2 linked regions of the Oryctolagus cuniculus genome follow. The protein of the gene in region 2 interacts with the protein of the main gene of each other region in a biochemical or structural test. Links are inferred from orthologs where the notes say so. Each region holds a gene or a part of one and is shown on either strand. Other genes may lie near its edges.

What was found.
Region 1: the proteins of SORBS1 (region 2) and FLOT1 form a complex in vitro, tested with the Homo sapiens proteins (2 studies listed by BioGRID). The link is inferred for Oryctolagus cuniculus from reciprocal best matches to the Homo sapiens genes SORBS1 and FLOT1.

Annotation. Positions count from the first base shown.
Region 1 is NC_091436.1:139,702,291-139,706,786, reverse strand, and holds the start of FLOT1 (flotillin-1), read right to left. Parts: upstream 2,980-4,496; 5' UTR 2,830-2,979; intron 2,644-2,829; 5' UTR 2,630-2,643; coding exon 2,587-2,629; intron 2,320-2,586; coding exon 2,244-2,319; intron 2,150-2,243; coding exon 2,059-2,149; intron 1,847-2,058; coding exon 1,703-1,846; intron 1,576-1,702; coding exon 1,456-1,575; intron 1,368-1,455; coding exon 1,272-1,367; intron 1,147-1,271; coding exon 994-1,146; intron 1-993. Other genes in the region: IER3 (radiation-inducible immediate-early gene IEX-1), read right to left, coding at 3,893-4,153, 4,273-4,482. UniProt on the Homo sapiens protein: May act as a scaffolding protein within caveolar membranes, functionally participating in formation of caveolae or caveolae-like vesicles.
Region 2 is NC_091446.1:34,100,241-34,104,702, reverse strand, and holds the start of SORBS1 (sorbin and SH3 domain-containing protein 1), read right to left. Parts: upstream 2,878-4,462; 5' UTR 2,775-2,877; coding exon 2,650-2,774; intron 1-2,649. UniProt on the Homo sapiens protein: Plays a role in tyrosine phosphorylation of CBL by linking CBL to the insulin receptor. Required for insulin-stimulated glucose transport. Involved in formation of actin stress fibers and focal adhesions.

The sequences.
Region 1 (4,496 bases), on a different chromosome or scaffold from region 2:
AGTGAACTCATGAACAAAAAGCAGCAGAGTGTGGGGGACAGTGGCAGGCAACATACCACCAAACGACGCTGCAGGAGGCAACTCCTTGGCGTGCGTGACCGTAATGTGCTGTGAGTACTGACTCTGGGGTTACCAGCACCTTCCAGTGAACATGCGGGGGTTCTCCCCCAAGGAAGCCCTGAATAACGAGGATGGGCTGTACCTCCTCGCGACATCAAGGGCTGCACAGATCACGCTTTGTAGGATTCCATGCCTGGCTCTCCTTTCTCCTTTCTCCAATCCTTCTTTGATAGCTGTTGTTTAGCCTATGGGGTGCTCCTATGCAACTTACAAGGCACTCCTTCCTCTGGGCAGATGCAAAGCCACTCCAGGCCGGCGCCGTGGCTCACTAGGCTAATCCTTCGCCTGCGGCGCCAGCACCCTGGGTTCTAGTCCCGGTTGGGGCGCCGGTTCTGTCCCGGTTGCTCCTCTTCCAGTCCAGCTCTCTGCTGTGGCCTGGGAGTGCAGTGGAGGATGGCTCAGATGCTTGGGCCCTACACCCACATGGGAGACCAGGGGGAGGCACCTGGCTCCTGGCTTTGGATTGGTGCAGCGCGCCGGCCGTGGCGGCCATTTGGGGGGTGAATCAACAGAGGGAGGACCTTTCTCTCTGTCTGTCTCTCTAACTCTGCCTGTCAAAACAAAACAAAACCCACTCCAGAATGTACAGACTGGTGAGTGGAGCACGGCTGGATCCTACCTGTAGTTCATCCCCTCCACCAGGTTCACAGGGCACCACCTGCCCCGAACATACGGCCCAAACCCTATTGATCAGCTCCCTTCTTGGCCTTCTCTTTGCTTTTCAGCTGAAATGTTAGTCTTTTAAATGTTTCCTTATGTGGGGAGAAACAGAGAACTAGAAGATCAGAGTTGGAACAGGAGAGAGTGGTAGCCTGGGCAGGAGGGGAAGGGGCAGCGAGCAGCCTGGACCCCTCCCCGGTGCGAGGCTCTCACCTGAAGCTGGTAGGCCAGGTCAGCCTGTGCTCGGCGGGTGTTGACCTCGATGTCGTAGGCGGCCTTCTTCAGCTCGTAGTCCCTCTGCGCCTTGGCCATCTCGATCTCGCTCAGGTACTGAGCGGACACCTTTTCCTGCCTGGCTTTAGCTTCCTGTCCAAGCAGAGATCAGGCAGGAGAAGTCAGGGCAGAAAGAAAGAAGGTCATCAAGCGAGAGCTTCCCTCCCAGCCCCACCAGCCCCCTCAGCTGTGCCCCTCCCAGCCCCCATCAATCTCACCCGGATCCCAGCATCTCTCTTGGCCTCTGCTTCCCCGATGCGAGCATCCTTTTGGACTTGAGCGGTCCGCGCCTTCCCCAAAGAGTGTAAATAGTCCTGTGGGGGTGGGGCAGAAATCAGGAGTCCTCAGAAGGGCAGGGGAGGTGGGCGAGGGGGCCAGGAAGGACCACCAGCCTGGCTTTACCTGGTCATCGTGAATGTCCTTCAGTGTGTAGCTCACCACGCTGATGCCCATGTTGACCAAGTCTGATGAGGCCACTTTGAAAACTTGCTCTGAGAACTTCTGCCTGTCCTTATAGATCTCCTAGGAGAACAGAAAGAGTGGGGGGCAGAAGAACCTTCAGCTCCCAGCCCACCACCTCTTGCAGACTAGCTGGGTCCTTGGGGTCCATGGATTCTGCACCGCACCCCCACTGCCCTCCGGGGCCCACCTCCACAGTCATGTGAGCCATGATGGCCCGCTGGTGGCCCTCCAGGGTCTCCAGCGCGATGTGGGCAATCTCAGCTTCCGTCTTCCCCAGGAACATCTGGCAGGCAGCTGCCAACATCTCCTTGTTCTGCCCCTGGATTTTCACCTGCAGCCAGGGGAGGCGGAGGGGGAGGCCTCAGGAAGCCAGGGAGAGAAAGGGGAGCCCTCTAAGAGATGCTTCTAAGGGGCCTGGGGTGCCTGGAACATGCCAGACTAGCAGCCGAGTTTCTTTGCAAGCAGAGGTTGAGAAGTTCATGGCCAGAAACCTCTAGGAGGTGATGGAGCAGTAGACTCTGGGGAAGGCTCTGATAGCCTCACCTGGGCGATGCCAGTGACTGAGATGGGGACCCCATGGCGAGTGTAGACTTTTTCACTCTTGACATTGAGGGTCAGTGTGTTGAGAGAGATCCTGGGGGCAGGGGCGGGAGAAGACACAGACAGTAAGAAAGGCAGGAGAGAGACTGAAAGCCAAGGCGTTCCATCCCTGTGCTCCTCCTACCCACCTCTGGATCTGCTGGATGCAGGGCAGGACAAAGACGCGGCCTCCAGCCACCATGACTGGGGGGCTCCGGCAGAAACCTGCGAGGGGCGGGGCGGTGAGTGGCCACGGAGGAGCTGGGGGCGGGCCCCAGTCCCCAAGAGACAGCTTAGGACCCGCAGGGCAGGTAGCCTGGACTTGGGCAGGGGGCGGCTGGCCATGACAGGTGGGTCTCTCACGACCATCAGGGGGCAGAAGCTGGGCGCTGGGGAGCTGGCAGGGAAGGGGGAGACGCGGCAGCGAGCAGACTCACAGCGGTTTGGGGGTGGGAGGGTTAACTGGCTGTCTGGGACGAGAACAGTACTCACCCGAGACCACCATGGCCTCATTTGGGCCGCAGGTGAAAAACATGATTCAAGAGGAAGCTGGAGGAGACGGAGAGAACGCCTTTGCGCATGGGCACGCCCGTCCCTTCCGCACCCCTGGGTCCGCTACGGCTTACCCCAGCGCAACCCTGAAAATCCCTTGCGTAAACCCTTCCCCGTGTTTCCGGTCACTCCTTTCCCCCTGCCCTCCGCAGCTCCGGGCTGCTTCTCCCCGCCCCCACTTACCTTCCCGGACGCCCAGCGAGCCGAACAGGGGCAGCTAGCGCACCGGTCTCCCCGCAAGCCCGGCCCGGCCCTCCAGCCGGCCGCACCCTGCTGCTGCGGCAGACGCGAGCCCGCCCAGCCCACCCGCTCGGCCCCGCGCGCTCGGCCCGCCCCTTTCCCGGCAGGCCGCGCTGGGTCCGCGCCCGCCCGCCTGCGGCCCCGGCCCCTCGGGGCGCCCCGCTCTCCGCCGCCCTGCGGGAGCCGCAGTCCCGCCCCGGCCGCTGCGCGCTCCGCCCCGTGCGCGGGACGTGAGTTCCGCGGCTCCGGCACCCCCGGAGGAAGGGAGGCTGCCACACTTGGGCTGTGCCGCGGTTGACTTGGGGAAGCCACAGAGCCGGCAGCCAACGGCGGCCCTCCGACTCCGGGAAGAGGGGCTCCGGGACCGGGGGCGGGACGGGGCGGGGCGCGGCCACCGCTCCTCCCGCGGGCGGGGAGGAGGGACTCGCCGCTTGCAGAAAGAAGCACACTGGGAGAGTCACAGACGGTAAATCAGGTTTATTTGTGTTCACAGAACATACCGGGCGACCCCGACAGCCGCCCCTTAGGGGCAACCTGGAGGAGGTTGACGGCCCCAGACCTCATTCCCAGCAGTTCCCCGAAGCCTCGCACCGCAGACCGGCGGGGTTGAGACGCTGGAGAGCGCAAGGTGTCACCCACTAAAGACACGACCCACCACCACCCCCCTCCCGCTCTGCCTCCACCAACCCCACGAAGTCCAATAAATACCAAAAGACCTGCGTTTACAGCAGAGGGGGCGGATCTCGCGCCCTTGCATAAATTAAAATAAATATTACATACGTCCCTCCATCACCTAGGAGGACATATAAATACATATAAATACGAATGAGGAGTCCAGCCGGGCACCTGCAGGCGGCCTGCGTGGGCTCGCCCGGGCCCCGGCTGGCGCCTTGGCTGTAGTGTTGAGTTTGAGTTGCCTTGGAAGTCCCAGTTTGGGATACGCTCTTGTGCACCAGCTACGTCTGGTGTGGGTTGGGTTTTTCAGATTCTTCTGGGGGATGTGTAGTTAGAAGGCGGCTGGATGTTGCTGGAGGAAAGTGCTGAAGTCCAAAGCGTAGTCCGAGGGCTCCGAGGTCAGATTGAAGGGCTCGAGGACAGGGGGCGCCGGCGTGGGCGCCGGGAACTCGGCGCTGGGGGCGTCCTCCGGGACCAGGGGCGCCGACATATTCTCTTCGGCCATCAGGATCTGGCAGAACACTATAGTCAGCAGCACAAAGAGGAGTCTCTTGGCGGGATTCGGCTCTTCGGCTGGCGGCTGGCGCCGGACCTGAGGAAGGACAGACAGAAGGGACGGGTCAGATCAAGAGCCTGGCGTCCGGTGGTTCCCCAGCCGCACCAGGGCAGCGCGCCCCCCTCCCCCAGGCTGCCCACTCCGGAGACACTCACCGCTCGAGGGTACAGAACCCTGCGGCTTCTCCTCTTGTGCCCGCGAGAAGCGAGGGCGCGCATGGCGGGTGCCACCGCCGGCTCCGGGAGAGGATCGAAGGTGAAGATCTCAGGCCCAGAGCCCCGCCGGTGTCCCGGGCTGGTGGAGGGGGCAGGGGTCGGGGCTGGCAGGACGGCCATGGTGGAGAGCGAGCTGCGAGAGTGACACATAGCGCAGTGTGCAG
Region 2 (4,462 bases):
ACTTCAGACACCGACCTACTTGTAGACCCCTGCGCGTCAAGACTCAGCCTTCTCTGTAATTAATCGGAGTCTGAAAGATATGACAATGAGGGCTGGCGCTGTAGTGTAGCAGGCAAAAGTCACCGCCTACAGTGCCGGCATCCCATACGGGCACTCGTTCTAGTTCCGGCTGCTCCACTTCTGATCCAGCTCTCTACTGTGGCTTGAATAAGCAGAAAATGGCCTAAGTGCTTGGACCCCTGCACCCACGTGGGAGACCGGAAGAAGCTCCTAACTCCTGGCTTTGGATCAGCTCAGCTCAGGCTGTTGCGGCCATCTGGGGAGTGAACCAACGGATGGAAGACCTCGCTTGCTCACGTTCTCTCTCTCTCTGCTTCTACCTCTTTTGACAGGCAGCAAAAAATACTCTGCTTTTCAAATAAATCTTTAAAAAAGTTTTCTTGTAAAAAATATATATGACAATGGTTGTTCAGCATAGACCCATTACAGCGTCTGCACTTCACACCACCCTCCAGGGTGAACACAAGACGCCTCACAGTCCCAACCCAGCACTAACTAGAAAGCACCTCGTTCTCTCCCAAAGAGGTCTGGGTGCTGTTACAGCCACCTGGGTTAGCTCAGCCTGGGGAAACAAAGAGGAGCCATCAGTCTAAATTCTTCCCAGGCACACTCTTTTGGCCACAGCCTGCTCCAAAGCCCCATCTCCACCAAAAGCATCCTCACCCCTCAGAGCACGGCTCCTGCTGGAGAACATATTAAAGACACCCCTTCCAGGGAGGAAGTCATAAAATAGGGCACATCTCTTGGGAAAGGGTGTCCCTTGTGGCTCACAATAGAAGAGTGGAAACTTTTTCTATTATGGTAGCTGTTTTTGTTGTAAAAACAATAACCACATGACAGAGACCTAGGAAATTTTGTCTTTTTATGAAGAGCTACTACTGACCACAAAAGAAAAGGGGGGAAAAATCAATGAAAGACCACATGGAAATAAAAAGCAATTTAATTGGGTTTGGTTTGTTTGTCTTGCTTATTTTGTGTGTAAAACACATACACATTCAAAAAGACTGAACGGTGATTTTAAATTAAGAACAGAGAACGTGAAACTTTAATGGTGCAATAAACGCATTAAAACACACTACAAAGCTGTATCATCAATAGTAAAGAAAGGACGGGCAGGGGAGCTAGGAGAAACATACAAGGGAGGAGAGAGAAAGAAATGGATAGAGGAGCGAAACAATAGAAAAGGAAGACAGGCAGCAAAACACAGGAACAGACAATGGGCCCACCGCAGACAAAAAGCAAGAGCAACCAAGGATCCATAAGACACTTCCTAAATTGGCCAAAGAAAAGTACTATTCATTGCCAGCTCAGGGCTTGGGCTATAGACTTCAAAGTCTTATCACCTTTTATCCTGGCCTTTGAATGGCTCATGCTCCGCTTAACCACTGTTCACAGCTATTGAATTGCCCACTGAAACATTATGAGGCTTAGCTCAGGTCATAAGCCAGAGGCTTCCCCCAAAATGAGCTCCAATTCAGCAAAGCAGTCATCTCCAGACATCTCTGGAAAGGGAGTCCATGAATCGCCAACTCATAAAATGTACAAAGCACCCATGAACGACAGAGGAGAAAATGCTGCTTTCATCAAACAGAAATGTCATGGAAAACTTTGCTGTAGTTTTGCATTAAAGGTTGGGGGGAGCTTCAGCAGAACTGGGACCCCTCAGCATTCGCCAGCATCCCGCTGGCATAGCTGCCTCCCACATGTCCAGATCCTGCTTGTCCTCAGCCACAGGCCTCCGAAGCAGCCTCCAGCATACTCTGAAATCAGAGGGTCACCAGGAGAGACCACAGGGACTCCAGGTCCGTCTCGGGCCCAGGCGGGACTCTCAGCTGGCCCCTCTGCACCCTGGCCTCAGCCAAGCCGCTCCTTATTCCACTCCGAGGGCGGCAGAAATGCCCTCCACCTCACAGCTGATTCTGCTCAGAGCTTGGCTTTCCCACGCGTCCCGTCTCCAGCTCCCACCTTCTCTGGTCTGTTTCTCCAACTTCTCTGCCTCTATTTCCTCCTCATTTTTCTCTGCCCCATCTCGGGATAATCCTTCTCAGAGACATATCTGGAACACAGGACCTAGAATCTATTCACTGGGCTCCTACCCCAACTCTGCATCTTGCTGGCTCTGTGACCTTGGGCAAACAGGCCAATGCCCCAAGCTCTCAGATTCCTCAGTGAAGGAAGTGCACCTGGAAACCACAGAGGTTTCTTCCAATGATCACACTCTAAATGTACAGCTGCATAACCATAAATAAAATGGGTTCAACATACCAGGAAGAATTACAGAAAACTCCCTTCCCTTAGCAATCTGTCATCCCACCCCTCCCCCCCCACCACCACCCCAGAAAATCACCCACTCTGAGGTCTGTGCCTCTGCCCGGGGCCATTCTAGCTCTGAATTATTCACATATGGTAAAACCTCACAATCACACAAATCAAGGGAAAGGTGAATCTGAATCCAACAAGCCCAAGTACTAGTTTCCTTCATGCCAAGAAAGAGCCTAACAACGCCATCACAAGCTGCACTTGTGAATCTAAGAGCAGTGGCGCTGTCAGGAACCCTGAAAATGATCTATCGGAAGTCCTCCACCTTACCAACAAGGACACAGGCCCGGAGAGTGATGGGAAGGCACGAGCCCAGGGAAGACTGGTGGGCAGGAGCAAAGCCAGCTGCCCTGCCTCTGGTCCAGAGCGCCTCCACCAAAGCTTTGGGAGGCCATCTGTTCCTTTTTCAGAAACAGGTTAAATCCTAAACTACACAGTGAGTGCCCTCTACAGCAAATCTATTTCCACGTCAGGGAAGGGTCCAGAGCTCCATTTAGACAACCAGAGGATTACCAGTGCTGCACAATAAAAGCTTTCTTTCCTGGGCTCTGCCCTTTCAATTCTCTGCAAAGAAAACCCCAGACTCGGCTCTCTGGATTGACCTCTCCGGATTGGAGAGGAGAGGAGGGGGAAGAGAAGGGAGAGTGGACAGCTCTTTGTCTTGCCAGTGAGAAGTGTTGGCTCCTCCTTCTCAATAAATCCTACTCCCCCTTCAGCCCCCAATAATCCCATTATCTTCAGAAAAGTTTGCAGAAACTCTCCAACTACAACCAAAGAGCAGGTCAGGGGGGAAAGGGCCAGCAGGGGTGGGTGTTGGTGGAGGACCACAATACCCTCCCACGGCTACACCCCAACAGGGTACGGCCCATTGCATTTCAGTTGCTAATTCCCGGCAGCCCGGGTCTGCAGTCTTGGGACCCTCCCGCTGAGAAATGTGCTCCCAGCAACCCCTGGAGAACTAACCCTTTCCTATCCATCTACCCCAACAGTGCCCAGGGCAGAGGTGCCAACAGACCAACCCCTCCCTCCTTTCCCAGGCCACAGGGAGACATCAGCTATTTAAGGCAGCATCAAGAGGGTGGGGCAGAAAATTGCTCCCCCACCCCCCCCCCCCCCGCAGAGCCCACACACACCCCCTCCGCCTCTACCTCCTCCACGTCGCTACGGGCAGTAGATATGGAGTCTCCGGGCGTCCGTCATGCGCTTCCTGTCACCGCGGCGACGGCTGCGCCCCCTCTACGGCCCACCCTACTTCAAGTCGCCCCCTCTCTCTTTCAGTCACCCCCAAGCCACGTTCCCAACACAGACGCAGAACTGAACCTAAGTAGAGGAGCCCAAACGGCAAGGGGAGAGGAGCCAGCTAAGCCTTCATTCACTCCGGAGAGGCGAGGCGCGCCCGGGGCCCGGGGCGCGGAGGCGGAGGTTCCATGATGTCCCTGGGAGAGGCGAAATTGATTCGAGCCATTTCGGCAGGTCGGCCCTGCGACTACAGGGGCATCCCAGCGCTCCGTGTTTGCTACGCAAAATCCAAGGGCTCACCCAGAACACGCCGGGGCCACGCTCACCGGGATCCCCTCTGCTCTTCTGTAGCCACACAACAGCGTGATTCATTCTGTCTGCCGGGAGGCAGCAGGCGTGCGCCGGCGGCTGGCAAAGCGGACGCACCGGCATGCAGAATTCGACTGCACGTCTCCCCCCACCAAAGGAAGCAAAGGACCTGAAGCCTCCTGCTCCTTCCATCGTGAATGGCCACCGCCGATCCCGGCAGCCAGGTCGAGAGGCAGCGAGGTGGGCGCGGAGGTTGCCTCCAGCCCACCCCGGCGCGGGGAAGCCCAGCAGAAGGCTGTCAGCCGGCGGGAGCGCAGGCCCCGAGTCTCCGGAGCCCCGGACACGCTCGGCGCGCCGGCCTCTCCACGGGGACGCGGATGAATGAACACACCTGAGACGCCCGCATCCCGCCGCCCGCCCCCTCCGCCTTCTCGCGCGGTTGCGCAGGGGCCCCAGCCGGGCAGTTTCATGTCACCGCACAAACCCACCCGGGCTTCGAGGCCCCCTGCGCCCGCCCACACTGCAGCCCGCTCCA